3 linked regions of the Neurospora crassa OR74A genome follow. The protein of the gene in region 2 purifies or fractionates together with the protein of the main gene of each other region. This does not show direct contact. Links are inferred from orthologs where the notes say so. Each region holds a gene or a part of one and is shown on either strand. Other genes may lie near its edges.

Region 1 (10,360 bases), on a different chromosome or scaffold from region 2:
TCATCTGAGACATGTTCACTAGTGCTATCATCGTGGGTCGAGAATCCTTTCCTGGTAATATCAGATCGCATGCTTGAGACAGACGGTGACCCAATGGAAGAGCGGCTCCCTGGCTTCGAAACAAGCAGCCAGTCCTTGCGAACGACGTTATTCATGGGAGCAGATTTAAGCACAGCATCTGAAAGAGAGGGTTGCTGACTGGCCTCAACGCCATGTTCCACAGATACTGCAATTGGGGCTCTGGTGTAATTTGAGGCCAAAGCAGTCCGTGGACGTTGGAGATCTTCCCCTCGGACCAAGTCCACAGTTCCAGGTTTGAGAGCATCAAGACGTCTATCGCTATCTATCCGACGTAGCCCTTTTCGTATTGGTGATGGAGTCGATTTCGTGTGTAAAAATGCATTGGTCATTGTCACAGGAGAAGGAGCGCTCTCTGTGGTGTTGGGCGAGTTTGTGTGATGCGGTGCAATGTCCGTTTCTCGATCCTGGCTTGCCTTGGATAATTGGGTGCGAGCGTAGGGGTCCCAAGCGGGACTTAGTCCAGATTCGACGACAGTTGCTTGCGAAAGAAACGCTGCAGTAGAAATTGCCCCCGCGAATGACACGGGAAATGAAGATTCAGCCGGTACAGGATTGTCGGAGTTTTTAGTACTGATTTGGGGCGCGGACTGCTCGAGGTTTAGGTAGCTCATTCCATCAACTCGAGGTGAAGTGATGTCACCTGGACTCTCCGGCAACGGGCGCAAGCCATGAGAGTAGTACGCCTTGACGAGACTATTGACGTTCTGTTCGGTTCTAATTTGAGCCGTGTCAAAGGCATATTGCGCGATGTACTGGGGGTCCGAAGAGCTGTTTGCAAAGAACTCAAGTATGTCTTGCAACCGAGAGGGATTGCGGGCGTCGTCAGCCTCCGTGGCCGCGTGTCGTCCGGTCGCCTGTTCATCCCACGTAAAATGCAACCTGGTACCTCGATCCCGCTCTTGGTTCGTAACCAGGCGGTCCCATGCTTCCGCTATCTTTGGCTGTTTTAGAAGGCCACGAATCACAGAGGAGTGCTGCCAATGGGCTCTTTGCATGCCTTCTTCGCAGTGCCGGCCGACGTGATCTAGGTAGTCAGGACGCGACTGCACGAAGGCACCGCAGAATCCACATCCCCAAGCACCTCTTGTCGGTAGCTTGACTATGTGTTGAGTCGTTGGGGAAGAAGAAAGATTGTGAACATCTCGACAATGGGATGCAAGAGATGGTCGTTCAGAGAAAGAATCGTGGCAAATGGAGCACAAATGCTCCTCGGGTCTGTCGTGATCCCTGAGTTCGTGATCCCTCCACTGGCCGGGACACGCAAACATGGCGTCGCAGAATGTGCAATGATAGCGAGGTGGGTAGTCATCGGTGTTGAAGCCGTCATCGCATTTCCCAGAACTACAAGGTGTTGCAGACATATTAGGATCCGCCGAGTCCACGGAGTGTTGTCGAACCGAATATCGTGAGTATGCCGTCGAGGCAGTTGAGATTCTTAGGCCAGCAGTCGAAAAGATGCTGGGAGCAGCTGAGCTCCGTCTAGATGTCGAGGCAAGCGAGGCGCGGGAGTGTTTGCTGATGAGATCATGATCGTAAGTCGGAAAGTAGTCGGTCTCTTGCCAGATGTTGTCGGTATGTGTCTCGGAATATGGGTTTTCCTTGGATGTAGTAGTCGGCACCTGATACGAAAAAGCATCAATCTCCCCGACGGCATAGCTGGTGAATCCTTCTCTCACACGGTCCACCTTTGGCTGATGGTGATTCAGAGCCATGAAGAGGATTTGGACGGTATTGGGCAGGTGTATGGTTTCTGTTAGACCACAAAGATATAAGCCAAGAGTATCAGTCTGTGCAGAATCCCGTGAGAAGAAGAAGCCAGGAAACGGGTTACCTCCAGATAGACCTTGTTCAAGAAGGGGTCTTGTTCTTATTTATTGAAGCTCTAGGGGTGTCAGATCATGTTTTGTATCCAGATCTATGCTCATTCGACCAATTGATGAAGTGGATTCACGAACTGGCTGCGCACAGGGCTGTGCAAGACCTTGTGGGGGTAGTGAGATCAAGAGGCTCTCAAGCGCCGACGTGATCCGGGTAGAAGTAACCAAGCTATCGGGAGACGGACCGGTTCCTGGAGGAGGCGGTGCTTTCATTTCCTATGCCGGCCTCTAGGGTGACGCGGAGAGACGGTAGTATCATGTCAGAACAAGGCGAAGTCGCGGTCCTTGATGATGGTTTCGTGGGGTGTGCCGGCGCGGAGCTCGTAGACTGGCCATTGTTCCAAGTCCAGGGTAAGTTAGCGAATAGACTAGGCTTGGCAAGGTACGTAAGGATGGGGTTATGTCGTACGGAGATGCCGCTGTATAGCGACGTAACCCGGAGGGCATAAGGCTGAATCAATGGGGACGGATAGACAGACACTGCAGAGTACCTCTTTGACAGTCTCTTGGCTTGGAAGGTCGGTGTAGATGGAAGCTCATCGCAGCTGCGCACTGTTCAGGCCTCGACTGGGGCATCCAATGGCGTCTAGGAGATGGTGGAGGGTAGTATCAGCGCTGTTCCTTGTGCATGTCGAGTACCGATTTGATATATTGGTCAGATAGGTCGGGTACATATTCTCGTTCACAGCTCCACGACACGTTTGCTTGGTTGATGTTGATGCCCCTAATTCGAAAGCCACGGATCTCGCGCTTCGAGCTACATGAGCTACGTATGAGCGTGAGGCAAGCTGCTCGCCCGAAGAGCCATCATGATACAAACGACGGAAACAAATCACCACGCCAAATACCACCATGGACTTGGCATCACTTGAACTGTCGGAAGAGACTGGATCGACTGAGGTACTGTGTAGTATCGTGATGGTGTCGTCGACGCTGCGAGACCCAAAATGGAAATGATAGGTACACAGCGGCACCACATCCATGCAACGGGCCGGAATGGTGCGCCATCGAAACCCGTACGCTTCTGATGCGCTGAAGAACGGGAGCATTGGGGCAATTTGGGGGTGTCGTGCATGCTGTAGGGCTCTTCCGCCACTGTACATACTGTATCATCCCTCGAAGACCCGGAGTTGGTGTCGCTGATTGGATGTCCGGCTGGACGGAACCGTTTCACGACCAATCCCGCAGAAGCCAGAGAAGGCATTCCCAGATTGCGACGCCTGTGATCATCCAGACAACGGCCATTATAGGATGTGAAACCGATGATGAGCGACATGCTTTGAACACAATGGAATAATCAAAGCATCCCAAGTCTTGTCTTGTTGTTGTTGTTGTTGTTTCTGCCACGCCCTGACGAGAACATCAACGTCGTAGTAGACGATGCGTTGAATGTCCTGAGACCGGGCAGTCGATAATGCTGGCCTGAGTCATCGGGCGGTCCGGTCACTTCAGTTGGTAATCCCTTCATGGACGCCGGGTCTTGCTTGGGAATGCGAAGCGGTCGACACTTGTGACAACCCAAGTCCGAGGTGGGCATGTTGACATGAGGTGGCAGAGGGGAGCCCGAAAGAGAGAACTGAAGTACACCAGTTTGTGAGGCGAGAAGCGAGAGAACCCGTGACCAACGCCTTCACATTTCTCGATCTGACTGCATATCGTGTCTCGTGTGAGCAGACATGACGCCAACAAACAACATGGGATGGCATGTGTCTCGGTCGACGACAAAGGAGTATGTGTTTGCATATTGGCACGAAAACGACCGAATAAGTAAGGGGATTGTGGCATTGCCGCAATGGAAAGAAGAACAAGGATTCATCATGAATCATCCGTCTCGCTGCTTTCCGAATGGAAATGGAAAACCGTAAAAGGATCGATGAAGGACGGACTGTTACCGACACCGCCAAACAGTCCAAGCCTCAATCTCTCCCATTGTGCAGGTCAGACATGCAGATCGAGCCCATAGGGCTGATGTGAGTGAGGGAACTCGACCATTGGCCAAATGATATGCGATCTGGTTGAGTTCGATGCAAAGAGTCAGTCAGGTGTGGTGAGTGGGTGTGGGTGAATGGGGCAGCAAAATGTCCCGTGTCAGTGTGGGAGGTAGGACGACGACGAGGACCCGACTGTCAGACAGACAAGAGGCCAGGCACACGGACAGCTGTCGCTCAGCTGGCAAGACTCTTCTTATCCGAATTCTTATCGACACGAAAATCCAAAGGAGTTTCGCACAATTGCTGCTGCCATTGGTTGCTAAGCCTTCCCAGCTTACAGCGCTCCAACGGGCCAATGGGGTGGCCAATGCGGCGTGAATTGGGGTAGGCAGAATCCCCACCCCGCATGGCTGTGGCCCGTGCTTCGTCCTGAGCTTGCCGCAAAAATTTCGAAAAAACTTGTCCAGGGCAAAAGTGGCAGAGCAAAAAAATATCCAAACACAGCGCCGTTCTGATTCCCGGAGACCGAAGACTGAGTTCATGCACCGGTGGCATTGAACGACGCCCAATTGCGCACAACACTCCAATCCCAGCGCACCCGGTTACCCAGTCACCCATCAATCCAGAGTCATCATACGACAACATCACCGCTAAGATGGCCAACGTCAACTATCTTCTGTTCGAAAGCGCGGTCGGCTTCTCGCTCTTCGAGGTCGTCCACCAGGCCGACACTGTCGGCTTGGAGCTGCCCGAGGTCAAGGATGCCATGAAGGATCTCGACAAGTTCGGCAAGATGGTGAAGCTCCGCAGCTTCAACCCTTGGAAGTAGGTGGCCAGAAGCAAAAGCATTGTGTGGTTTTGGAGTTGGTGTTTCGGGTTGAGGTGGTTGTGGTGATTTCATGGTCATGTGGTGGTGGTGGTGGTGGTGGTGATGATGTTGGGAGGGACAGAAACATTGTGTGAATTGCTTGTCTTGGCTGAACCATAAACTAACGTTCCTTAACCTCCAGCTCTGCCGCCCACGGTCTCGAGGCCATCAACCTCATCTCCGAGGGTATCATGCCCGACCACCTCAAGAACACCCTCGAACTCAACCTCCCCCAGACCAGCGGAAAGAAGAGCAAGATCGTCCTCGGTGTCGTCGACAAGAGGCTCGCTGGTGAAATTAGCGGAAACTTCCCCGGTATTCAGTGCGAGGCTGCCGATACCTCCGAGGTCGTCGCTGCCCTCCTTCGCGGCATCCGCACCCACGCCGGCAAGCTCCTCAAGGGCCTCCAGGACGGTGACATCAACCGCGCCCAGCTCGGTCTCGGTCACGCCTACTCCCGCGCCAAGGTCAAGTTCTCCGTCCACAAGAACGACAACCACATCATCCAGGGTATCGCGACCCTCGATGCCCTCGACAAGGGTATCAACTCCGGCGCCATGCGCGTGAGGGAGTGGTACGGCTGGCACTTCCCTGAGCTTATTCGCATCGTCTCCGACAACGGCACCTACGCCAAGGTCGTTCTCGCTGTCGGCAACAAGAAGTCTCTCAGCGACGAGTCCCTCGACGAGCTCGCCAACGTCCTTAACCAGGACGAGGACAAGGCCAAGGCCATCATCCAGGCCGCCAAGGTCTCCATGGGTCAGGACATCAGCGATATGGATCTCAACATGGTCAAGGACCTCGCGGACAACGTCTCCAAGATGGCCGACTACCGCCGCATCCTCGCCGAGTCGCTCGACAAGAAGATGGGCGAGGTCGCTCCTAACCTGCAGGTCATCCTCGGCACCCCCGTTGCCGCCCGCCTCATCTCGCACGCCGGCTCCCTCACCAACCTCGCCAAGTACCCCGCTTCTACCCTCCAGATCCTCGGTGCCGAGAAGGCCCTCTTCCGCGCTCTCAAGACCAAGGGCGCCACCCCCAAGTACGGTCTCCTCTACCAGAGCACCTTCATTGGCCGCGCCGGTCCCAAGGTCAAGGGTCGCATCTCCCGCTACCTCGCCAACAAGTGCTCCATTGCCTCCCGTATCGACAACTTCTCTGAGAACCCCACTAAGCGCTTTGGTGAGGTTATGCGTGAGCAGCTTGAGCAGCGTCTGGAGTGGTACGCCAAGGGCATCAAGCCCATGAAGAACACCGAGGCCATGGACAAGGCCATCAAGCTCGTCATGGACGACGAGGGTGACATGGACATTGACACCGAGATGGTCGACTCGCACACCGCCACCCACGCCGCCGACTCCAAGAAGGACAAGAAGGAGAAGAAGGACAAGAAGAAGGACAAGGAGGAGAAGAAGGAGAAGAAGGACAAGAAGGACAAGAAGAGGAAAGCGACTAGCGAAGACGTCGAGATGGTAGACGCCCCCGACGCTGCGGAACCCGAGAAGAAGAAGAAGAAGAAGAAGTCGAAGTCTGAGTAAAAAGACCGAAAGAAAAAGAGCCAAAAAGCAGCGTCACCACTTGTGTCTTTTTCACGATTTTTACTTTTTTTCTTCGTCATCTTGTTTAGAGCTTCTCGTCGCGTTTTTTGGCACGTCGTTCTTGTTGGTTCGCTCTGTTGTCGTTGTTATCCTCGGGAGTTTCTTATAATGTATGGGGTATGGGTCAAATCTGGTACAAAGGAGTTTTACGGGTCTACTTGTTTCTTGCAAGAATCATAAATAGTTCGTCGTTGTCGTCATTCACATCTCTTGCCATCTACGACTGATCATAGAGGGGTAGCGCAAAAAAGTTGAAAAGGATGTGCGTGTGTACTAGCATCATACCCATGGAGCATCATATGGCGGCGATATGGGTAAAAACAAAGGCTCATTAAACGAAACGGAACGTACGTCTAAAAGTACCTGGTTGATGTGAAGTGTCATGAATCTATGTACTCTTCCAATATCGCATGATTGCAAAACGCCCATCGACACTCCATCTTCCCCTGATTTTCTCGCTAGAATAATATCGTCATCATCAAGTCTTCGTAGTAAACATGTGCCTTGCCGCATGCAATGTGCTGCCAAGATAGAAAAAGGGGCTTGCAAGACTCTTAACCCCAAAGTAAAAAGTACCTAAAACATCCAGATACCCGCCGCCCTCTGTATACCACTCCTTCGCTTTCCATGGGAGAAACACCAAAGAACAAGAATAAACCGCACGGAACGAACCATTGACCACACCCGCCCCCCACACTGTGGCAGGCATCTCTCTACGCACCCTCACTACCAAACTCCTTTGTCCATTCCTCATTCCTCTTGAGATCCTCGCCCGACACAGTCGGCCTGCTGGCCTTGATGGCCTTGATAAAGTCCTTCTTGTCGACAAATGGTTCGAGCAGCTCGTCCGAGGGTACCTGCTCCCACGTCATTTCGATGGCGTCCGGATCGCCTGGCGAGCAGGGCGTGAGCATTTGTTTGCCTTCGTGGACGACCTGTTTTTTGTAGTAACAAAAGTTAACAATCTCGCATCATGAATAGAGGTAGAAGTAGGGGTTGAGGGTCAGGGATGGGAGAGAAAAGAGAAAAACAAAAAAGAACGAACCTTTTTGAAATGCGTAGCCTGCTGAATCTTCCTCACCGGTTGCATCAACGCATCCTGCACAACAATACTGATATCCGAACCCGAATAACCCTCCGCCGCGCGCGCCAGCTCGCGGAAGTCTTCCGCCTTGAGCGCCGTGTGGGTGTCGCCCACAGCCAGCCGGAACATGGTGGTGCGCGCCGCCAGGTCCGGCAGAGTGATGTGCACGCGGCGCTGGAAGCGGCGACGGATAGCAGCATCCAGCTGCCAGGGGATGTTGGTGGCGCCCAGGATCAGCACGCCCTTGCTGTCTTTGCCGACACCGTCCATTTGGACCAAAAGTTCGGTTTTTATCCTGCGCGAGGCTTCCGACTCGCCTTCACCGCGCGGACCGCAGAGGGCGTCGATCTCGTCGATGAAGATAATGGAGGGCTTGTTTTCTCGGGCCATGGCGAAGAGTTGCTTTACTAGACTGTTTTTTGTTGGAAAATCGTTAGCTTCTCAGTCACGATAGTGGCATAAGGACAGAGACAACAGGACAAAACATACCGTTCACTCTCACCCATCCACTTGCTCACCAAATCCGAGCTGCTCACGCTGAAGAACGTGCTCTTCGCCTCTGTCGCCACTGCCTTGGCCAAATAACTCTTTCCTGTTCCCGGTGGGCCATACAGCAAAATACCCTTCCACGGCTGCCTCTTCCCCTGGAACAGATGCGGGAACTTGATTGGCAACAAGACCGCCTCCTTGAGGGCCTCCTTGGCACCCTCTAGACCAGCCACATCATCCCAGCTGATGTTCGGCCGTTCCTGCAGAATCGCGCCCGCCAACGCACTTCTCAGCTTCTTGCTATCCTCATCCAACGCTTCTCCATTGCCATTACCGTCCTCCCCGGCCTCCTTCCCCTTCCCCGTCCCGCCCGTCGAACCCCCGTTCGCGCCCACCATCCCGGGCTTCTTCCGCTTCGCTTCCGCGTCCGCCAGGTGCGCTTTGAGCTTCTCGGCCCGGTCCATGTACTCGCCCGTCTTGGCCCGGATCATCTCCTTGGATTTCGGGTTCTTCTCCCATTTTAGGGCGAGCATGAAGAGTTCGAGCGATTGGTAGTACAGCTGGTAGGCTTTGTCGTACTGGGCGGCGTTGTCGGCTTCGATGGCTTTGCGCACTTGCTCGATGGCGCGGCCGAGGAAGTCGGTATTGGACATTTTGTGCGGCGGCGGCTCGAAGCGTGTAAAGTGATGTCGCGTGAATTCGTGGTTTAGTCGAGTGTAGGATTGGTCGCTCTTCTTGGTACGCCGTAGTAAGCGTTTGTAGTCGTTATACTTGTTTGCTTCTTCGCTCGGACAAGGAGAGTTTGTTGATATTCGCGCGCCGAGGTTCGAAGTCAATGTCAACAGATGGCCATATGCGAGGGAGGAGACCCGTTGATGACGACTGCTGTTGTCCTAGGCTACGGCAACGAGAGTGGCAGAGATAAGGTGAAGAGAAATCGGGAATTGGTCGTATCTTGCGGGCGTCACCTGGCAACGACTACGGCAAGACTGTCTTCTGGCACAAAAAAGTTGGTGTCGCGCCCTGGTCTGAGGTGGAATTGGAGAGGGGAAGATCGTTGGTGGTCTTGTCCATATCTTGGTTAGTTTCAAGCAACGAGGTCGACTTGTCTTGGCCGTTGACCTGGAAGCGCTAGCGTAGCGCGGGGTCCTGTTATGGTTCCCGGCCTGGGGGCCACTGACGCCACTTGTTTGCGCGTGGAGAGAGCGCTGGTCTGGGGCTGTTAGTACTTTGCTTGAGGATACACTCCTGCACTAACAGCTAAAGCTTGGGCACTGACTTTGGGATCTGCTCAGCTCACCCCTGACGATTGACTGCACAGCGAGCTCAGTTCCCCGGAATAGAAACCTCCAAATTCCCCATACTGGAGCTCATCTGTGTTTCTTGTTCCTGCATTTTGATCCATCATCTTCCCTCCCTCACTGTGTCCAAACCCTTTTTCAGTTTTCGAACGTCATCGCCTAGTAACTTTTCAGCATAACCCTGTCTCTCACTTCACATCACCCTCAAAGAAGCAGCCATGGCCAGCCCCCTCCAACTAAAGCTCCAAGCTCTCTCTGATGAGTATCAAAACCTGAACAAAGGTGAGCCCCCCTTATGATGATATCCCCGTAGTTCATTCACTAACTGTACCTCAGAACTCCAAGAGACTGTTCTCGCCAGACAGAAGCTCGAGGCTCAGAAGCAGGAAAACGTCAGCGTGCAAAATGTCAGCTTTTCTCCAAGCATCGCGCTCGCATGCCCAATGCCTTTCGCCAAATTCTGCCCAAGGAAAAAATGGGGACTAACTGAGCACCATGTAGGAGTTCGAGAAGCTCAAGGATGACGAGCAGATCTTCAAGCTAGTGGGCCCGGTGCTGCTCAAGCAGGACAAGATGGATGCAGAGAACACAGTCAAGGGTAGACTGGAGTTCATCAGCAAGGAGATGTAAGTTGAACTGCTGCATGGGATCTTGAGTTACAACGCAACTGACCCACTGTCACAGCACTCGCTTGGAGGGAGTCATCAAGGAGACACAGGGCAAGATTGAGAAGAAGAGGACAGAGATCATTCAGGTCCAGACGAGCGCCCAGGCTGGTGGTGCCCCTCAGGCCGTCAAGGCTTAGACCTAATGAAATCAGTTACGGAAAGAATGTCCACTATACCCAATCGAGATCAGGCGCAGGTACGATTCATCACACAGCGCTCCGGGGAAACTGTCTCGTGAATGCAGTCATAGGTCGATTTCTTTACCAAACGGTAATTATTACGTGATGTATTCATTGAAGATTCCCCCAAGATACCCCTTGACGCCTTGCTCTAAAATCGCTGAATGGGGATAACCAAAACACAACTTACACCCCCCTTCTCCCTGACCCTTACTCATCCACCCACCGACAGACCGCAGCTTCTCATCCTGTCTAGTATAACCTCAGTTCAGCGCCATAATTGT
Region 2 (10,044 bases):
TTAGCCACCTGTTCTGTAACCATGGAAGGCAAAACACCACAAAAGGTAAACCTACCATCCGCCATTTTTTTCAATGTTTCGCCCACATGAAGGGCAAGGCTTCGACGTAAGCGCAATTATCTTCTCGCTTTGCTGATTCTCCTCCTGTTGTCGAAGATGTTGTTTGTAGGCCGGGCTGTCCGGGTTCTTCTTCACAATGTCGAACTCGTCGCAAGTCATGCCCTTGTGCCATGGCACTTTGTGGACGTAGCATGACAAGTGTCCATTGGGACACTTCATGATGGGCTGGCTGTACCCGCCTTCGTGAATGTGGCCGCTGCCACAACTTGGCTCTGTACACTGTTGGAGTACGGAACGGTCAGCTATCGATTGCTGCCGAGCTAGGGAAATCTAGGTAGTTCCGATGGGAGCCATTAACTTACCCACCTGAAGCCTTCTTGGCTTTCCAGCATGTTCTTAGTTAGAAAATCTTCATACTTCGCCCGTTTCTCCGGGCTGGCGTAACGTAGAACAACATCCGCATCGAGACGGTTGTTACACTCCGGACAATTGATGTCCTGCCAGGGCTTGTTTTTGAGATCCGCCGTGATGCTCAAACGAACACATTCGACGCAGACACGCATCGCGTGTTGACAATCAGTAGAGAGTTTCGACAATGGAAAATGAAGAAAGTCTTTCGTCTCTGTGCAGACGACACACTCTATCTGTACGGTCTCGATTTGGACGGCCTCAGTCTTGCTGGAGGCTAGCTTTTCAGTTTGCGATCGTGTCTCGACGGTAAGAGTAGTCATGGTCAATCTCAATGAGGGAAAAGAAGTTTAGGCCAGCTGGCGCCTTGGTAAATGTAATTGTATCTCCGCAAGCAGGCTTCTGGATGACAAAGCTGAGGTGAGGGGCCGAAGAGGGCACACGTCGTTTTGCAGAAACATCTTATAAGTACGAGTGGGCAGGGAAGCAGAGGACTTGGATGGTGACGCTATCATCAAGTACCTCTAGGTACCTCATCCAATGGGATTTGGCATAGCACGCAGTATGCAAGTGCCAACGAGCAGTACAAACAAGCAGACAGCCGGAGGACTCGCTCAACCCTGCGTGGAAAACCTGCTGAATGTTAGAATCTGCAGCTGATCTTGATGGACGCGCAAATATGACTACGGAAAAGGCACATGATTGTAAAGTGGTAATAAAAGATGACAACCGGAATTCAAGCCAGCCTACTTTTCTAGGAGGGAGTGCCGGTCAATAGACGCCAAGGTACGGAGTTTCAACGTTAACTTTGTGCCTTGATGAGAACGTATCAAGTACTTGAAGGCAGTAGAAAACTTGACTCGGCTTGGTCCAACTGATGTGATAAGGTATGGATAAGTATCTCCGATGATGCCTGATTTCCAGAGAAGTTGAAAATCAATGGCCCGAGTCTTTGCGGAATTGGAAATGTGCTAAAAAGCGTGCTGGTGTGCGGAAGACAGACAGAGGAGCATTTACAAGTAAGATGAAGCTGTACCAGTCATCTCGAACATCTGTTGACGGCGATAATTGCTGTCCAGGAAAACATCAGACAGCCTTACCAAGGGGTGTGTGGGTGTGTAAAAGACTGATCGCAACAAACGCGGCATCTTATCGTGAAGGGGCTATATCATGGATGCTTGCATCTCGTCCCGTCGTTCGTTTGACACAAGCCTCCCGTCAGTCGAGGGGAAGCACCTTAACTCTCCATTTCTCCTATTCCCCGCTACGGACCTCAGGCAGATGCCTTGAACGAGATGGCTTTGATCAGATACCTACCTAGACAACAACCAGTCTCTTGCAGAGAGTGTGCAAATAATTCAAGGGACGAAATATCATCATATGGGTTCCCTAGCAAGAGTGTTGATACTTAACTTACTCCGAACTGCTTGATCTGAGGCTTGAGCCTTACATATGCTGTGCCGACATTGCTACTTGTAAATGTCATACAACACCATCATGTTTATCGATTATTTTTTTCCCCCTTGAAGGATAGGTGGTGCGACGGAACGGCCAGTGTAGCTGACACCCAGGGTTGACATTAACCAGCCCGCTGTTGTTGCGAATCACTTGGAAGAAAAGGCATGTTCCCACGAGTGCGGAGAGATAGCTGGGTTACCTCACAGTTTCGCCTACGAAAAAAATGATTTCAGAGGAAAAGAGGACACAAAGAGAAGGTAGAGCATTTTCAAACTTTCAATAAATGAGAGGTAACGAACGACAGAAACAGATCAATCCCGCCTCAGATGGGGATGATCGAAGTATCAAATTTGACACCTTGACTTCTCTTCCAGGTTCTGGCCTGCTCCTTCATCCACAAATGATTGACGAAGGCGAAAACGGAAGCAGCCATCCATCCGAGTGTCCGGGGTGCTGTCCTGTGCTGGAAGGAGCGAGAGACATGCTTCAGAAACTTACGAAATGCTTCGTCCAGCCTTACAGTACCCCGAAATCTCGCCGCAAGCTGCTGGGAAAGGATGGATAGAGACTGGAGCTGGAAATGTATTCTACACGAAGGGAGCATAGTGGCATGGGACCGACCCTTTTGTCAAAATACGTGGTTTAGGTATCATAACAAGTCTAAAACTATCGCAAAATACGTATGTAAACATCCATGATTGGATGACGAACCCCGATATCTCTCCTTTTCCCACACCAACACCAACATTGAAAACCAACTCATCAATCCTCCAACAAGCCAGCGGCCAAAGCCTCCAAATCCTGCAAGTTATCCGGCTCATGATCCATCTCAATGACCTTCCTGCCGCCCTCCATCTTAGCCTTCTTCCTCCTCGGCCTGCCGTCATCGCTATACTCCGTATCCGAGTCATCCTTCTGGAACCACTTCTTAGCCTTCTTCTTAGGCGGTTCCCTATCGTCCTCGCTCTCGTCACCGCTGTCACCGCCCTTGCCAGCAACAGGCAAACTTCTGAGCAAAGCCAAAGGATCCTCCTCCACATCGCTGTGCGCGTCCAGCAGCGCCGGCTGCAGGGGACCCTTCTCCCTCTCGACCTCCTCTCCCCTCTCCCTTGCCTTGGCGCGCTCCCTCTTCTCCTTCCTCCGCTGCTTGGCCAGCAGCTTGTCTTCGACATCCTGCTCCTTGACCTTGGTGGCTTCGCTCTCGACGAACTTCTGCCTGAGCTCCTTGGCGTCGCCCTCCTTCTGGAAGTCCTCCTCGTCTTGCAGCTGGTAGAGCGGGTGGGCGTTTCCTTCGTCGTCAAACACAAGCTTCTGGCCCTTCTCCATGTACTTGAGCAGCTTCTTCTTGGACTTGAGCAGCTTCTCGCGACGGTGCGAGTCGATGACCAACTCGGCGTTCTTGCCCAGCTTGACCACCTTGGCCGTGCCGTCGGGGTTGGTGCCGGACTTGGCATTGCCGGCGGCGTCGTCGAGGGCGGCATCGTCGTCCAGCACGCGCTTGACCGAGAGGAAGTCGTCTTCCTCGTTGTCTTCTGCCTGATCTTCTCCGAGAAGCTTGCGGTAATGCGTCGACAAGACGTCCTGGTTTTGACGCTCGGCCATCTTGTCGTACTTTGTCCTGACCTCCTTCTTCTTCTTGCGGATCTCGCCGTCCGAGCCTTCGGTGTCGGACCCGCTGGACATGGCGGCGCGCGAGGCATTCTTGAGCTTCTTGACGTCCTCGCCCTTCTGGTATCTGATCTGTGGAGTACCTGGGAGACCCAGGCTGGAAGCAAAACCGTCGAGGTCGAGTTTGTCGAACTTGAACACCTCCTTATCCTTTTGCAGGTAAATCGAACGGACGTACGAGACGAAAGCCTTCTGTCCGAGGTATTTGAGATCGGGTGACTGGAAACACTGTGACTGTAGTTCGTTCTTGATGCTCTTCTTCTTGTTTTCTTTGACGTTCACTTTCTGGACGGTCACCTTCTTGTGCTCGAGACGCTTAAGGAAACCCTCTTCTTCGCTGGGGTCGAGGAACAAGACGGCGCGGCCCTTGCTCTCGTAACGCGCCGTTCTGCCGACGCGATGGATGTAGGTGTCGGCATCTTCAGGGCAATCGACCTGGATGACCCAGTCAACGGCGGGGAAATCGACACCTCTGGCCACGACATCGGTGGCGAAGAGGCAGGAGTATTTCGCGGACGTGAACCGGTTCGTGATCTCGAGACGTGCTATTTGTTTTTGGCGACCATGCAAATGTAGTAGTGGAATACCGGGCTGCATCCGCTTAAAACTTTCGTAGACGAATCTGACCTGCTTGCCGGAGGACATAAACACAATAATCTTGCTCTTGAGGTTCGTTCGTAGGAAGCCCCATAGCGTGTCGAGCTTCTCAGGGAGAGGTGTGACGATGTAATGCTGTTGGAGGCCGACGGGGGTCGCCGATGCTGCGGCTTCGTGAACAGAGACGTATTCGGGGTCCTTCAAGCTCAACCGGGCAAGGTCCGAGACACGCTTGCTTTGTGTGGCGCTAAACAGCAGGGTCTGCCTGCTCTTGGGAAGATGCTCAACAAGAGCGTCAACGGCCTGTTGGAAACCCATGTCCATGATGCGGTCGGCCTCATCAAGCACGAGCATCTGGAGGTTGTCGACATCGAAGCCGGCCGTTTGGTCGAGATGCTGCAGCATACGGCCAGGTGTGCAGACGAGGATATTCATGCGCCCAAGACGCTCCGCCTCCTCCTTCAAGCTCTTTCCACCAATGACCAAGCCTGCCGAAAAGCTGTGGTTGCGACCAATCTTCCTGAGAACTTCAAATATTTGGACGGCCAATTCACGGGTCGGGCTGATAATGAGGGCACCGAGACCGTCGTACTCAGTCCATCGTGCACGGTATAGCTTCTCGAGGACGGGAACAAGGAAGGCGAGGGTCTTGCCGCTACCTGTCCTAGCAGCGCCGAGGATATCTTGCCCTTTGAGCGCGAGAGGGATGGCGGCGCGTTGGACATCGGTTAGGACCTCGAAATGGGATGCGCGTAGTCCAGAGGCGGTAGGTTCGCAAAGGGGAAGGTCCGAGAACTTGTTGAGTTCGGTGGATTTGGGGTCCTAGTAGATTGAGACACAATATTTAGAAGCGTGTGCGGTTGTATGGTGAGAAACGGGGGTTCAGTACTAGGACTTACAAGTTCGTCGATTCTCTTCTGAAGCGCCTCGAGGTTCTCCAACTCTCTTTTCCTCTTCAACGTCTTGTGTTCGGCCTTGTTGGCTTTGGACCTCTCCTTCTCGGCTTTGCCCTTGCCACCGCGGCCTTTGGGGCCTCCTGGAGCCATTGTGTTTGTATCGTCTGAACGTGCTGGAAATTGGGCGTGGTGGGTTCGACGAAGTTCCAAAGGTCGGGTCTGCTAGTCGAGCGAATCCAATTGCCTGCGGGTCGTCGCTGGTGGCCTTTCAGTTCGATGCGAATGGGAAAACTTTTGGCGGAGAGCAATTCTGCCAGCTCGACCCACCTCATCCACTGTAAGCGAGGGGATCTGCAGCAGGGGTCTCGGACTCGCGGCCAGCTCAGACCAGGGTTAGGGTCATACGAGCAGACAGACGACCATCGAGTTGTCAGCCCCCAGTGACATTCTCAAGTCGTTGCTATGGTTCATGATGGGTTGGATGGGCAGTTGTACGGGGCTGAAGTAGAAAATTCACAGTAGCTTTTGCATCGAACCAAATTCGAATTGTAGTGGTTTTATCTCAGCGCCCACAACTTCAGCAATCTACATGTTTCACTTAGAACAGCAACATTCGAACATCAACACCGTGCCTGAGCAATGAAAAGAGCCAAACTATCATGAAAGCATAATGTATTGAACCACGAAAAAAATGAGCTTGAAGACGGGTATCGCTCGCTCACATGATTCCTTCGTAGGTAGACACCCGCAATAAAACCAACCCACTAGACCCACCCATATGTACGTTTCCCAAAGTTGAAAGCGATAAAAAAAAAAAAAAGGACCAAAACGCCTTGCCCCATTCCCAATTTCCTTGCTTTTCCCTTCAATACGTATTCGGTAGCTCAAGATCCGTCGCCCAGATACCCATTATCAATCCTGTTATTCCTCGCCCTCGTACTCTAATTCCTCCCCAAACAGTTTCAGGCGGTAAATGCATGTATGATCCAGGGCTCCATGGTTCGTCTTGGCTCTGACGACCACCTTGTACGTCGCCGCATCCAGATCGAGCAACTCCTCCGACAGCTTGTGGACAAACATGCCGTGGCTACCGCTGGTCTTGGCATAGTCGTACTCCAGCTCGCCGATCTTGACGTATTTTCTGTTGATGAGGGACAGCGATTTTTTGTTGTTTGCGTCGACCATCTTCATGTCAGCTTCGCGCTCGCCAGGGTACAACTCGTCCATCCAAGCCAGGAGTCGCTTGTTGTCGTCCGCGTCCGGATAGTATCCCCAAATCTCAATGTCTTTGGGCATGGACCCAGGGTCATTCGTCGCGTTCGGATGGACGTGCTCAACGACGATGGCTTGGGGAATGACATGTTTGGCCATCTCCACGGCGAGCTCGGCCCCCCTGCTGGCTGAGATGCCAGCGCACCAGCACTGGCCAACGTCGTTCCAGGCAGAGAGCGCCAGCATGTATTCTGCTTCCAGGGTGACCTTATCCTTGCTCGAAATGGGCTTCGGCTTGCCGAGCAGTTTGCTGAGGTGCTTGTTGCCTGGCAGTGCTTGCGACTCAAGTCGGTATACGGGGGATGATTCCGACAAGACGATACCAGCTTCATTGCCCAGGCCGAAATGATTGACTTGAGTTTCAACGTAGTCGTGGTAGTTGCGCATGATGCCGTCCTTAGCGGCTGCTTCAAGTTGCGCCCGAGGAATCTCCTTCTTGACAATATTCCTAACCAAGGTGGTGATTTCGGACTTGGAAAGACTGCCTTCGGAGTTGGAGATGGCCGCCTTGACCGTAGTGTCGATGAGTGTCTCAAGCCCTTTCTTGACGGAATCCAATTGACCATCAATCTCCTCCTTGTGTTCTGCAATCCTTTTCTTCAAGAGGCCCACAAACTCATCTCGGCTGATGGCTGCGTCACGCGTGACCCCATCGCCTTTGTCGCCTGGTAGATGCTCCTTGACAACCTGGGCAACCTTTTCCCCGTTCTTGGTTACCCAACGTTCCCAAGATTTGGAAACAGTGCCTTCAGCAATCTGCAAGATATGCTCATCCGATGGGCCCTTCTCGAAAAGTCCGGCTTTGATGAGGCGCGGCCGTAGTGCGTCCCAATGCTCTTCGGAAATGTCACCAGTGCCGTCAAGCGTGAGAACCGAGCTGTCCTTGAGCATCTTATCCAGAAGAGCATGCCAAAAATCGTCCTGAATGATGAGATCGCCGTTTGGACCACGTTTAACGTGCACCATCCGGGGAAGAAGAGTTTGGATGTTTTTGACAGCACTCTCCGTAGAAGAAGATTGTTCAAGGATAAAGTCCTTCAAGTCATTAAACTGATCATCCGTTAGCTGCGGATGACTGGGGATGAACTGCCCGACGTTGCTCCTCCAGTGCTTCCAGCCATACCATCGGATGCTGGTATTCGCATCCGGCGAACCATAAGAAGACGCGGTTAAGACTATCAGACCGATGAGGAGCACTGGTACAAGGAATGTGAACAGCTTCCACACGCCCCATGTCGAACGGCGAATCAAACTCAGTAATCGTTGCACGAAGGTAGGAGGAGCAGTAGTATACGGAGGAGGCGGTGTTTCCACGTTGGTGGTATTTGACTGTTCGGCTCGCGGCCTGGATGTTTGGTTTGGTCTTGCAGCTGTGGGCTTGGACACCTTGCCAAAGGACGGATACTGTTTGTCAGACATGGATTTCGCCTCTGTGTCGAACAAGTCTTGGTGTTGATCGACTTGATGGGAAGGAGGTTGGAGAGAATTGGAGAGGGTTGACGCTGGTCGCCTTGCGATTCTGGGTGGTTCTGGAGGCTCTGGGGTATATCGGGCTAATCGCTTTTGTTGAGCCATTCGCACCTCTTCTTCGAGCACTTCCCTCATCTTTTCCGAGTCCGTGTAGACATCGCTTTCCTCCACGTAGCTGTTGCCGGTATCGGGTACCACAAGTTCCCTTGTCCTGGAAGTAGGTGGTGTTGAAAGCAGTTGTTTGGAAGGTGGAGGGGGTGGTCGCATAGCCTGCCTCTTTGCTTCCTCCAGGCTTGCCATCTCTGCTTCGCTTGCCTCTCGAGCTTGGCGTTGCTCTTCCTTTTTACGCGCAGCCTCTGCTGCGTGCTTCTGTTCGGCTTGACGCCGCGCATCTTCAGAACGCTCACGGTTTAGCCGAGCATTTCGTTCGGCACGTTCCAGCTCGGCCTGTTTCTGGTCCTCCTCGTCGCGTGCTCGTTTCTTGACTTCTCGTTCGGCTCGTTCTTGGGCCTCACGCGCAGCCTTTACTTTGGCTTCTTGCTGAGCTTTCGCGGCCTGTTCCTTCTTTTCTCTCTCAGCCTTGTCCCTCTTTTCCCTCTCTTCTTTGTCCTTCTTGTCTTTCTCCAACCTCTTCCTCTCTCTCTCCGCAGCGTCCTTCTCCGCTTTCTCCCTTTCTTCCGCTGCTCTCTCCTCCGCCCTTTGCTTTTCTAGTAGCTTTGCCTTCTCAATCTGATCTTGTAGCTTGTTGAGAGTTTGGACTGGTTTCGTAGCACGCCGGGGCGGGTCTGGTGCGGGTTCCTCTTCTTCCTCGTCATTGTAGTAGCCACCTTGGTTGTCGTCATCGTCTTCTTCCTTCTCTTCCTGCACCTCCTCATCCTCTTCCTCCTCCTCTTCGGTTTCTTCCTCAATTGGGTCAGGGCGTCTGGGGCCAGGAGTTGTGCTACCCCTACGCGCATCAAGCTCTCGACGGCGAGCCTCAGCCTTGATATTGTCGGTCCTGACAGTTTCGTGTATCTCGGCGAAGGCCGTTTCGAGATCAGTACCTGCAGCGGTTTTGTTCCTGTCTGGCATAGCCACCAGTGAGGAGCCATAACTGAGACTGAATCTGGTGGGCGTTTGATTCCTGACCTGCTTAACAGGAATCAAAGTCCCGCGCTTTCCAGGCTTTGGCGTGCCTATATCGGAAAGGGCAGGCGAAGGTGACACCGCCGACCTCCGCGTTATCCGTCTAGGAGGCATGGTTGCCGTGGATTTTGTGAAAAGATTGTTAACGTCGTGAAACGCGAGGTCAACGTGGGACCAGTGATTGGAATATGAACTGTCCATAGTGTTAGAAGGCGTTATAAAATCCAAAATGTGAACAACTGATGTTCTTCTTTTTCCTATGACACAATGTTGTCGCAATGAACAGAGACGGTTGGAAACAATGTGCTACTGAGGAAAAAGATCCCAAAATTGAGAGCCGTTACAGAAATGTTGAAGACTATAGGCGAATTGAAAAAAGAAAAACAAGAGCCGCGGTTAGAGCATGTGCATGGGGCGATCCAAACTCACATTTAAATGTCGGACTAGACGACTAAGATGCCGCCCAAGTCTTTTGAAGACGAGTTGCTAGTAACAACGAATCGATGGGTGTTAAGAGGCTGGGCCGAAATGCAGAGCCGTGAGGTGGCTCTTGGGGTTCTTTTTGTGAGGCTGCCGCTGCAGGCCGATTTTGCTTGGGTGAGCGTCCTCCTGTCCAGACCAGCCAGACAACGAAGCCGCCGCCGGTCTGTATATTGGAGGTTGATCTTCGGGTGGTTGCGATATGTTGATGCGCCTTCGCCCTGCGACTGCGACTGCGACTGAACGGCAACCAGACTTTTGCTATTTGCGAGGCGCGCAACACGTGGCACCCGCCTCCAATCAAGGTGAAACTGCTGAAGAGCCCTACGGATGCCCAAGGTGATTACTCGATACCGTTGGTCAATTGCGCCAACAGATCCGACGCGAGGGAGACCTGAAGAAAAGTAACCCAACCTCCTCGCTGAACGCAGTGAAAAGTCGGGTAGTCGGGTCCTCGGCGATGATGTGCAGCGTTCCCTTGCAGACTCGGCACGCGTGGCTTCGATTGATGGCACCGACGCGATGCTAGGCTGCAGCAGCGATCAAAGGAGACTTGAGCGAAAGCCTTCTAACGCTGGGAATCTTTTTTTTTTCCTGACAGAAATTGTGG
Region 3 (10,237 bases), on a different chromosome or scaffold from region 2:
CCCCCGGCTGCCGGACCCCCACTCTCCCGGGGCCCATGCTGTGTCGGTGAGGTTCGAAAGTTTCCGAATGACGATCCGGGGCTCTCGCCGACCGTGAAAACCAGACAAGATTGGTGCTTATCAGGACGCAGACTAGGCTTGCTTGCATTGCCCTGATGCAATGGCAGGTGGGGTCTTCTGGGTTGCAAGGCTGTGACGAACAAGTGGAAGTGCGGAATGAGAAAGTGGAAAATCTGAAGAAATGTGACGCTCCGGGGGGGAGGGGAAGGGAATGGGGATGGGTACCTAGGTACGTACTGTACGTACGCAGTGAAGGTACATCGATAGGTACCTTTGCTGCCTAGGTAGCCTGAAGCTCATCGCGATAAGACCTGTAGCGCTGTGGCCCCTTTGTTGGTGCTTTGAGTGGAGTCTATTTGTGTTAGTGTACATAGCGCCGGCACCAGCCACAATCGCAGCATTGCAGCAACGACTTCCATTTCGAATTTGACATACAACCAAATAATGACATCCCGCCGTCCAACGCCTTTGTGAAAGTCGCCAGATATCCTCGATTCAGCGCATAATTGCCATTAAAGAGTCCAGTCGCGTTCAGCGTGAAGCAAAGAAAATTGCTGGCTGCAAAGGCGGCATACCAGTCACGTGTGCAAGTGTACCCTCCCTGTGACAATATACAACCTTGGATCTCTTGAAGTCGACATTGGACAAGTTCTATTTGTTGCAAGTCCATGTCGCACAAACTGCAAGCGACCTTTTTCAAACTTGACAGTAGTAACCCAGTACACCACCATGAGCAATAAGGGGGTCGTAAGGTAGGTAACCAGAGACTTCCCAACCCTATTGCCTTGATTTCCAAAGCCTACCATCAAGTCTACCACATAAGAATGGAAGTCTTCATACGTACATTGTGTGCATCGGTTCCTATATTTGGACGATCAGATCGCTGCAAGGGTTCCGTAACCAATACCACGGTTCCTTGTGCTCAGGCCCCGAATCAATTAATTTATTTGAACAAAAGTCTGGTGCAGGATGGACGGGATGTACGGCGATCATCCTGGAGACACTCATCAACACCGACGGGATGGCATGTTATTCGGAAGTGGAAGTGTGCTCCGACCCGTCAAACTCTCCCTCGGGGAACTCAGCAACACAAGAGGACAAGTGATATCTTGCGCGTCAAACGATACTGACACTGGCTCTCAATCTCAAGTGCGTTGTGCAACAAATACGACCCTGGGAATTTTCCTCGCCATCCACGGTGAGCGATGCCAGTACTCTCCATTGGGCCAAAGTGGGCGGAAGACTCTTAGAAGACATCACACTTTAGGTGTTACTTTTGGTCGTCACTTCTGGCGCGCTTCTCTCGTCACTCCATTCGGCCTCGCCGGTTGCGACGTTGACTGTTGGGTACCATCGTCCCGTCCCTCCACGCCTCCGCCCCCGGCGCCGCCCGTCCCTACCACGGGCCACTCCCGGAGACATGACTGATTTGAGCTTTAACCTTTCGGTGCTCTACCCGTTTGTGGAAGGCCGGCCTCCAGAGAGGGTAACAGAAAATCGCAGCAAAGAAGACATGGAAAAGCTTGTTGGCTTCCATGATGCCATGAGTGCTTAGACTACTGGACGGCTCGGTCTTCTCATCACTATCAACACGGGACTATCCATCATGATGTCGGCTGCCGTTCACGGTGAACCGATGGCGCCCCTCCTTCACATAAGTTAATACTTCCTCCCCACTTCTGGATACTCGAAATCGAGAATCGTGCCACTCTCGGTATAGAATTAAGGCAAAGAGATGTCTGCCGTCTCCGGACGCCCCAAGAGTGAAAGCGGTCTCCCAGACCCATCGGGATGTCGCAAAAATGACCCACTGAAATTCCGTATTGCTTCCTTAACTGAAGCGTACCCCTTTCCTTTTTCTTTTTCATTTTTCCCTTTTCTATTTTCCTTCTTTTTTTTTTTTTTTTTTCTCTCTTTTCTCATACGTGCTCGACATCAGAAAATCCCATGCACCATCGAGAGGCTCGAATACCCTTTGTCAGAAACTTGTCTGGCTCTTGTGTCATCCTTCCCCCAATAGTTGAGGTTTCCAGCGAAGCACCAATGAATGGAAAGAAATAGAGGTAGCTAGGTACATCTCACAAGCCAGGGACACACCGAAGACACTCGTACATAGCGGAATAGGTAGCAATACTTTTCGGCAAGCACCCGTGATGCTTACTGTACTCTTCAACACACAAGATATCCGGAATGTCAGCATGACGTCCCGACTCTGTACGCCCTCGATCGAGCCACAGAATGAGGCCTCATTGCATAGTCACACCGGGGGGCCACCGATCAAACTTTCTTCTTCAACATACCATAGGCCCTCTTCCAAACGGCTTAGCAAGCAACACCTGGGCACAAAAGGATATTTCTAGCAGCACTCCTTTCACTGACATACCGGATGCTGAGCATCCCGGTCGTACAAACGATGGGACCCAATTTCCCGGGACGAGATGCATGACTCTATACACATCGGTTCGATTTGGACAACTGTTTTCAACGAGTGACGTCTTCATCTCGCCCTCGTTCGTATCACGATATCCTGTTGTACACTTGTAAACCTAAACGAGGGACAAGAGATCTCCATCAGGCCATTACAACTCTGATGATCCCGGAGATGTACCATTTTCCTCTATCGATCTATGCGCCACTATTCAGGGTCCCATCCAGATATGTAGACCGATAGGGGTCCCAGGAACTAAAGGCAGGGACAAGGACAAGGACAGATGAGGCGAAGCCCACGTAGGCCTGTCCGACCTTGCAGTATGTATCGATGCTAAATCCTGAGCGCAGTCTGGGCGCTCGCATTCACACGAGTTTTCGGTTCCCAGCTGGATGGTTCGGTAGTCCCCTCCCCCCGCGCCACCACCATTTCTGGAAAGGGGAGGCAGTGGGACACTCCAGTTCACTGCAGTCTGGCCAGACGTTCATGGTATGTATGGGTGTACTTTGGCCCGGGCCAGACCATTAACAGCCGATAGCTTCTTTTCTTTTGCCGGCCATCGTACACTTTACCATTTTATACTACCTAGTGCAGTGTATATCTAGTCTCAACGTCTGTGTCTTGTTCGGGCTCATTCCCGAATGGTTTCTTAAACGAGGTTTCGAAGCTAGTGTTGTGCCTGCTATGCGCAAGCCACAATTGCGGAGTTGAGACCGTTTCGGTTCAGTCAAGTACTTTGGAGGAATGAGATTGGGCGGACGGTTTCAAGGTTGAAGGGTCCAACTGAACCAATACAAGTCACCACAACACCTAACATAGTGTGTTTACGTTTCCAACAGGAAAAAAAATAAATAAAAAAACAAAAAAAAATCTGCACTTGAACTGGTCTGATTGTAATAGGCTCGGAGCAAGTTCGAGGAGGAGCATGGTAAAGGAATATTTTTCGGAGGCGGCCCTTGATTAGCTCGGTCGGTCAGATGTCCACGAGGTGCGGATTTCCGAATCCTGGCTAAGATCCTAGTGGTGTTAGTCGTCTATAGTTCAGTTGGAACAAGACCATGCCCCTGCCGAACGAGGATTTTGACCATAACCAGGGCTTGAGGTTATATGTATTGGTCCGATAAGCCTATCCCGCAAGCAATCATACCAATCTCCAAAGGTATACCCGGAACAAGTCAAAGTCACGCAAGATTGAGAATAGTGTCAAAGGAAGATCTGGACCTCTTTGGACCCTTGCCACCCCGCATCCTCGAGTCTAAACCCCATGGACCGGATAGGTAAGATACGTATTATGTAAGTATGTATCATCTGGCTCCTTCCCCGGATCACCAAAGTCTTGGGTACTTCTTGCACATCACTCGATCAGATCATACCTTTGGATCCCAAATCAGCACGCTCTTTCCGCTTATTTTTGCCGCATTCGTTTGCCTTGCAGCTGCCGTGCCGCGGTGAAACAAAATGTGTGCGATTTGTGTACTTCAGTCCTAACCAGGATAGACACCAGCCATCCTGGCCTTGTGAGGGTAGAACCTAATCAGCCATTATCGTGAGGTGTAGTCGCGCGTCTCTCATGCCCGGGCCCAGTGGCGATGTTTCTTTCTCCCGTGTAAACTGAACTTCAGCCTTTTGCTTTCTTGGAGGAGCAACGACCTACGATTGCCGAACCGATGATGATTGATGAGGAAGGAACAATCAGTCATTGGTAATTACGGAGTATGCCTACCACCTTCCAACAAAAAATCAGGTGGGACAGGTTAAGCAAGACGTAAAAAGTGTAGTAATCACAAGTGAAGAGCTCAACTTTTACGAACGGCATTTGCGAATGATCTGCACAAGAGGATGAAATGGCCACCATCCGACAACGAGCAAGAGTAAACTCCGTTATATGGCGTTTAAGTTTGTCTCGTATAAGCAATGCTTTACGCCAAGTGTGAAGAACGTGTGGTAAATGCCGACGGAGTCATGGGGGCCAATAGGGGATAAGTATGTACATCACCAGGTTTGATCACTTCCCTGTATGAGATATCCATATGGGCTTACTATTCCGATATCTGCTCGAGTTCCAAGTAATGCCTACTGTAAATGCTATGATTCGTCCAACCCGTCCTTGCCGCCATTCAACAATTCACCTCATCGCTTCCGCAAATCCAGGGCCGACTACGTCTGAGATGAGAATACTTCAGGCAGGCCAAGGCCAAGTCCATCTCCCTTGGACAGGACGCAAGGGAATGTCTTGACAACACGTAGCTGGTAGTTGGCCATCCATTCATTTTTCCCACTTGGCTAAGATTGAGGAAGGTACGCATGGAAAGAAAAGCGTACATCGGTCTGGCATTCGTCCATTTGCAGACCTCGTTCACCACTCACGATGCAAGTCGTTCTTCGTGTCTGGACCGACAACTACAGAAAGAACCGAAGGATTGACACCTAAGGTGGTCGATCGTATAACGCCAATCATCGTCATGATCATCAACGGGAGTGTGAGAGAAGCAAAAGCCACTGACGAGATATGTGCCAAGAGTAAGCCGGGTTTGGTTTGTCGCCGACGAAAAAGCCTCCTCCTGCTTAACCGCTTCGAAAGGCGCCAATCCTGATGGTCGATTGCTTCTTGGGACTTTACCCCTTTTAGGTGCAGCTAAGAGATCCCAGAAAAGGTGGTCGCCTACCAGGCGCGCGCCTCATGTAGTTACTGTCTTTGGTTAAGTCGTGAGTTTTGTTGCGCGAACTAAATCGCGGACAGACGGATTTGAGGACTGGGTCCTCTTCGAACGACTTGGGAGACAATTAGTGGGATACTCATTCAGTGAAGTGCCACTGCTCGTGTCGACAGGTGAAAGAAGGCTCAAGTAAGGATTTCACAGGTAGACTCTCAATCGTCTTTCATGAGAGCCCCAACCTTGCAAAGAGATACCCTTGGGAAACGTAACAAGAACAACATGAACTGTTCATGAGAGTAAGCCGATCTGCATCATGCTGGGTGTGTTAGAGTTCCTCGGTACCCCATCATGACAAAGAACATAGGTACCAGACAAGGGGAGGGATAACTTCACGTAATTGATTCAGCCCTCACCCCCGTAGGCTTGCTCACGGCCAACCTTGGCTTCGATACTCGTCGACCAAGATATCCCCGGGACCATAGTAATTATATATCCTTTAGCCTGGCTTGGGCCACAAGTTGTAGAGGTACTTTGGCTTAGTACCCGGTAACGGATCACACTTACACTGTCCGTACTCTCCATTAACGCTGCGCGTCTCGTCCCGGGATATGTTGTCGCCTGAGTTACTTTGTCAGCTCTGATCAACGCCGCAAGCAAACGAGCCAAGAAGATAAGATTTTCAGCGGTGCAAGAGCGCTTAGTACGGGGAAGGTGTAGAGGCAATGGGGTGAGATATCGAAGAGCTAGATAGCATGCAAATCATAGATCAGAGCATATCCAGCATCGAATAAAGCAACAAACAATAAGCTCAAGAAGTAACAAGACCGCCGACAAGGCCGATGATAAGGAGCAAAGATGACCCAAAACTCTGATATGTAAATCTATAGGACTAAGCAAGCTCAAATTTGCTCATCAACAAGCGAAACCAACGGCCCAGCATCCTCTTGATCCTGGATAGACTCTAGGCATGTTTAAATAATCCTCAAAGCCATGTAATGACTGGCTTGCAGTACCCTTGCGTCCCCAGGCCCAAACAATCTCCTTTGAAACTCGAATGGCCAGAATAGTCTCAGTTTTCGACGTGATACCCTGATGAAAGGGGAGGGACTCTCAGTTCGCAGATTTCAAACGCCATAAAGACGAACCAAGCTGTCGAGCATTTTAAGCGCCGATAAAAGCAACCTCTGCTTGACTATCCAGCGCCCTTCTCGTTCTTAGGGTGATTGACTGGTGATCGTTCTTGATGTGTTGTAGGCTGGCCAATTTCGCTGGTGAACAGGAGGTTCGTTGCGCGGTGACTTAGGAGTCGTGACGAGATCGTGAAAGGCGGCGTAAGATGGAAGCAACCGGGGTCACTCCGGATATCAGTCTAAGAACCCTGGTGCTTTATTCCCACAATGCTAAAACAAGGCAGATACCCAAACGCCATTCGCCGTTCCAGATTTACAAAACCATCCTGCCAGTAGAACACCGAATTATGTGAAGGTTCCAGAACAGAGCAACGAAGATAGAACAGTACTAATTCGAAACTCAGTTATCGACGAACTCCTTCTGCTGGTAGACGCAAGAAACCATGGCGTGGTCACGCTCGTAAGGCTCTGTGGGTGATTGTTAGTTATTGTTGGCTCTATCAACCAAAAGGGAAGCGGATGGACGTACCAAGAGTCAACTGCTCCTTGGGGAAAAACTTGTCCTCACGGAGCTTCTGGACCTCAGAGGCGAAGACCTGCTCGGGAGGAGCAGTGGAGTCAATGCAAGAAGCCTTGATAGAGATGAGAAGACCACCACCCTGCTTCAAGAAGAGCTTGGCGTTGATGCCGACAATTCTGAAATGTGTTAGTGTCAGGCACATACAGTGTCAAGGATCTGTATAAGTCGGCTTACCTGGCCTGATCGGGCTGGGCAACATCGGCGAAGATGACATCGACCATGGGGAGCAGCATGCGGTAAGCCATGGGCTTACGGGCATCCTCAACGATGGGGATGACGTTGGTGCGGCGAGTAGCCATGTTGATGAGGTCACGGCCGGAACGGTGAGAGAACTCGACGGCGTAAACGGAACCAGTAGGACCGACGATATCGGCAACGTGAGAGACCGAGGTACCGGAGGCAGCACCGAGGTAGAGGACCTTGGAACCAGGCTTCATATAGATGGTTTCAAGACCACCGAGGATACCGGCAGCAAGCTTCGAACGGAAAGGGTTCCAAATCTGCAAAGTCCAATGTTAGTCTTTGTCTGAGGCCACAAGCTGGAAAGCCTGGAAAACGTACGCGGTACTCAGTCTTGGTGGAAGCACCACCTTCCTCCTTAGAGGCGTTCTCGACAGAGATTCTCTTCTCGCCATAGACGGACTCGCCAGGGACAAGGTTGACGGTAGCGAGGAGATCCTCCTTACCACCACGAGCGACGAAGACGCCCTTGTGACGGTGAGGCTCGACGATGACCTTCTTGCCAGCAGCACCACCCTTGGCGCCACCGCGGGCACCACCGCGACCACGGGTAGCACTATACTCATAATGTCAGTCAATGTCTTTGGAGTAATCAAGGGTTTTGAACACAAGACGTACCCGCCACGGCCACCACCGCGAGGACCGCCACGACCACGGGGAGCACCACCACCACGGCCGCCTGTTAAGTCATTGTCAGTAAAGTGTTGCGTTAATGTGGTTGCTGTTGCCATCGCATGTTGAGTCGAGTTGCGATATGAAGTTCGACTGAAATCGCCATCCTACTACGAGAAGTCAAGAGGCATGCATGGCGACCACGGGCCGCAGCAGACGCAGAGACATCTCTCAAGATGACGAACAGAAGCAACGACATAACCGCAAAGACCATTCAGGCGATGGCATTGAGGCCAAACTCACCACCGAAGCCACCACGGCTACCGCCACGGGCGCCGCCTCTGCCACCACGATCACCACCGAATCCACCACGACCACCGCCACGGGCGCCGCCTCTGCCACCACGCTCGAAGCCCATTTTTATAGAATGTGTCGGTATTGATAAGTCGGAGTCGGTATGAGTTGCGATTCTGGGCCGAAACGCGTTGTAAGATCAGTCGTGCGAGGCACAATGGGTTTAGAGTTGTCGCGCGGCGCTGTCGAGGACTCGGAAAAGAGCTTTTGCTGGAGCTGGGTGCAAAATTTCCTGGACATGGATTGAAAGAAAAAAAAGCGGGGCACGAAGTCTCATCGCTGGAGCACTTTTTTTTCCGGTCGAGGCCTTCTGCCTTTGCAATTGGCTGTCGTCCTGGCGTGGCGGTCGAGGCTCTCCAGTTTGTTGCGGATGCTATCGTGCACGGCCGGCAGTCCAGGAGGCAGGCTGTTATCGGCGCTAGCACTTACTGTCCCCGCGTGCACGTGCCTCAGGCAAAGTGACGGTCCGCACGAGCCACCTGCGCAGTGCCCACAGAGCCCTAATCGCGAAAATCGGTTTTTGTACGCCAAAATTGGAACCCATCACCACCTCTGAACATCACACTTGGTCGATTCCCCGTCCTCTCATCGACAAGCAGGCAAGATGGTGAGTAAATCCCTGCGAAATCCGCCGAACGAGAGAATCGCCGCCGTTATTTTGCTTCAGGACAGTTTTCGGGCTTCTGCAGCCGAAATGACGACGAAAGTCTCAACGGACGACAATGACGGCTTTGCGAGCATTGCGAGCACTTGGAGGAGAGGGAATCGCTGACCGAGTCTTGTTCAAAATCGCAGGTTCGGTACGCTGCGACTGAGATTGCCCCGGCTAAGTCCGCCCGCTCGCGCGGCTCTTACCTCCGTGTCTCCTTCAAGAACACCCGTGAGACCGCCCAGGCCATCAATGGCTGGAAGCTCCAGCGTGCTCAGAAGTTCCTCGAGAACGTTCTTGAGAAGAAGGAGGCTGTCCCCATGAGACGCTACGCTGGTGGCACCGGCCGCGCCGCCCAAGGTACGACTTACTCGATATTTACATGCACAAACACACCCGAACCGGTACATCATGCGACGACGACGACGACAGTGGGGAGGACAAAGTGGCGGGGGAATAGGGGGGCATTGTCAGCATGATGGAACCGCGACCGACCGACACGAAACCGCAATCGAATGGAGGACATAGAAGACACGGTGCTGACCGTTTCTTCGTCATATAGGCAAGCAGTTCGGTGTTTCCCGCGCCCGCTGGCCCGCCAAGTCCGCCGAGTTCCTTCTCGGTCTCCTCAAGAACGCTGAGGCCAACGCCGATGCCAAGGGTCTTGACACTGGCAACCTCGTTGTCAAGCACATCCAGGTCAACCAGGCCCCCAAGCAGCGCCGCCGCACTTACCGCGCTCACGGTCGCGTACGTCAAACCCGGAGATACCCCCCTGATTTCTGCTTCTGCGCCGGCAGATAGACGATCAAGCCGGTCATTGGCTAACAGTTATGTTTTAGATCAACCCCTACATGTCCAACCCCTGCCACATCGAGCTCATCCTCACTGAGGCCGATGAGGTCGTCCAGAAGTCCGAGGCCGTTGTCCGCGAGGAGGCTCACCTTTCCTCCCGCCAGCGTGGCGCTCGCGTCCGCCGTGCCATCACTGCCGCTTAAATGCGCTTTGATAGCTAGGTGATTGGACGAGGGGATGTTTTGATTGAGGGCTTCACTTTTTTTCCGGAACGGTGTACGCGAGCATGGCATTTTTCGGGTCAAGGTCACGATTCCAGGGAAAAAGGGGTCGATCATGAATACTCAATAAAAGAATTTGAGAAAGCATGACACGGCGAAACAAGTAATCATTCAAGCCCTGGCGTAATTGCCAACGGGACGCCAAACCGAACTGCGGGTTACCTGAGCTCTGAGAGTGGCTGTGACGTACCTGTCTGCCCCTGATGCAGAGCCGCATGATGTTCAGGTAGCTAGCCTTCCCGAAACGATACCCAATCCAGCATCCCCGAGTTCAGTTGGATGTGCCCCCTTTGCTGCGTGAGAAGTGATGCTTGAGCAAATACAGCTGCTATTGAGGTTTCGCCACTGGGGGTATCTTGGGTATTGGACAGTCGTGGCTGTTATGATATCATAACCCTTTTGTATGAAATCCACCGATGCTTCTTATCTCTTCACCACATGTACAACAAGC

Evidence for each region.
Region 1: the proteins of NCU04439 (region 2) and NCU06943 purify together in Saccharomyces cerevisiae (affinity purification with mass spectrometry, with the first as the bait; 4 studies listed by BioGRID). This does not show direct contact. The link is inferred for Neurospora crassa OR74A from reciprocal best matches to the Saccharomyces cerevisiae genes HCA4 and NOP56.
Region 3: the proteins of NCU04439 (region 2) and NCU03702 purify together in Saccharomyces cerevisiae (affinity purification with mass spectrometry, with the first as the bait; 4 studies listed by BioGRID). This does not show direct contact. The link is inferred for Neurospora crassa OR74A from reciprocal best matches to the Saccharomyces cerevisiae genes HCA4 and NOP1.

The regions. Positions count from the first base shown.
Region 1 is NC_026507.1:844,926-855,285, reverse strand, and holds NCU06943 (SIK1), read left to right. Parts: upstream 1-3,969; 5' UTR 3,970-4,544; coding exon 4,545-4,714; intron 4,715-4,899; coding exon 4,900-6,295; 3' UTR 6,296-6,707; downstream 6,708-10,360. Other genes in the region: NCU06944 (hypothetical protein), read right to left, coding at 1-1,793; NCU06942 (vacuolar protein sorting-associated protein VPS4), read right to left, coding at 7,069-7,290, 7,401-7,851, 7,929-8,581; NCU06941 (prefoldin subunit 6), read left to right, coding at 9,448-9,511, 9,566-9,636, 9,731-9,855, 9,914-10,034; NCU06940 (hypothetical protein), read right to left, coding at 10,340-10,360. UniProt on the Saccharomyces cerevisiae protein: Required for 60S ribosomal subunit synthesis.
Region 2 is NC_026504.1:3,351,316-3,361,359, reverse strand, and holds NCU04439 (ATP-dependent RNA helicase dbp-4), read right to left. Parts: upstream 5,359-10,044; 5' UTR 5,238-5,358; coding exon 5,091-5,237; intron 5,014-5,090; coding exon 2,689-5,013; 3' UTR 2,554-2,688; downstream 1-2,553. Other genes in the region: NCU04438 (hypothetical protein), read right to left, coding at 56-339, 423-452; NCU04440 (hypothetical protein), read right to left, coding at 6,009-9,068. UniProt on the Saccharomyces cerevisiae protein: ATP-dependent RNA helicase required for ribosome biogenesis. Involved in the release of U14 snoRNA in pre-ribosomal complexes. Required for pre-rRNA cleavage at site A2.
Region 3 is NC_026505.1:2,133,835-2,144,071, forward strand, and holds NCU03702 (rRNA methyltransferase NOP1), read right to left. Parts: upstream 8,413-10,237; 5' UTR 8,126-8,412; coding exon 8,011-8,125; intron 7,775-8,010; coding exon 7,714-7,774; intron 7,652-7,713; coding exon 7,417-7,651; intron 7,356-7,416; coding exon 7,030-7,355; intron 6,972-7,029; coding exon 6,805-6,971; intron 6,744-6,804; coding exon 6,676-6,743; 3' UTR 5,860-6,675; downstream 1-5,859. Other genes in the region: NCU03703 (60S ribosomal protein L17), read left to right, coding at 8,666-8,668, 8,857-9,070, 9,273-9,460, 9,553-9,708.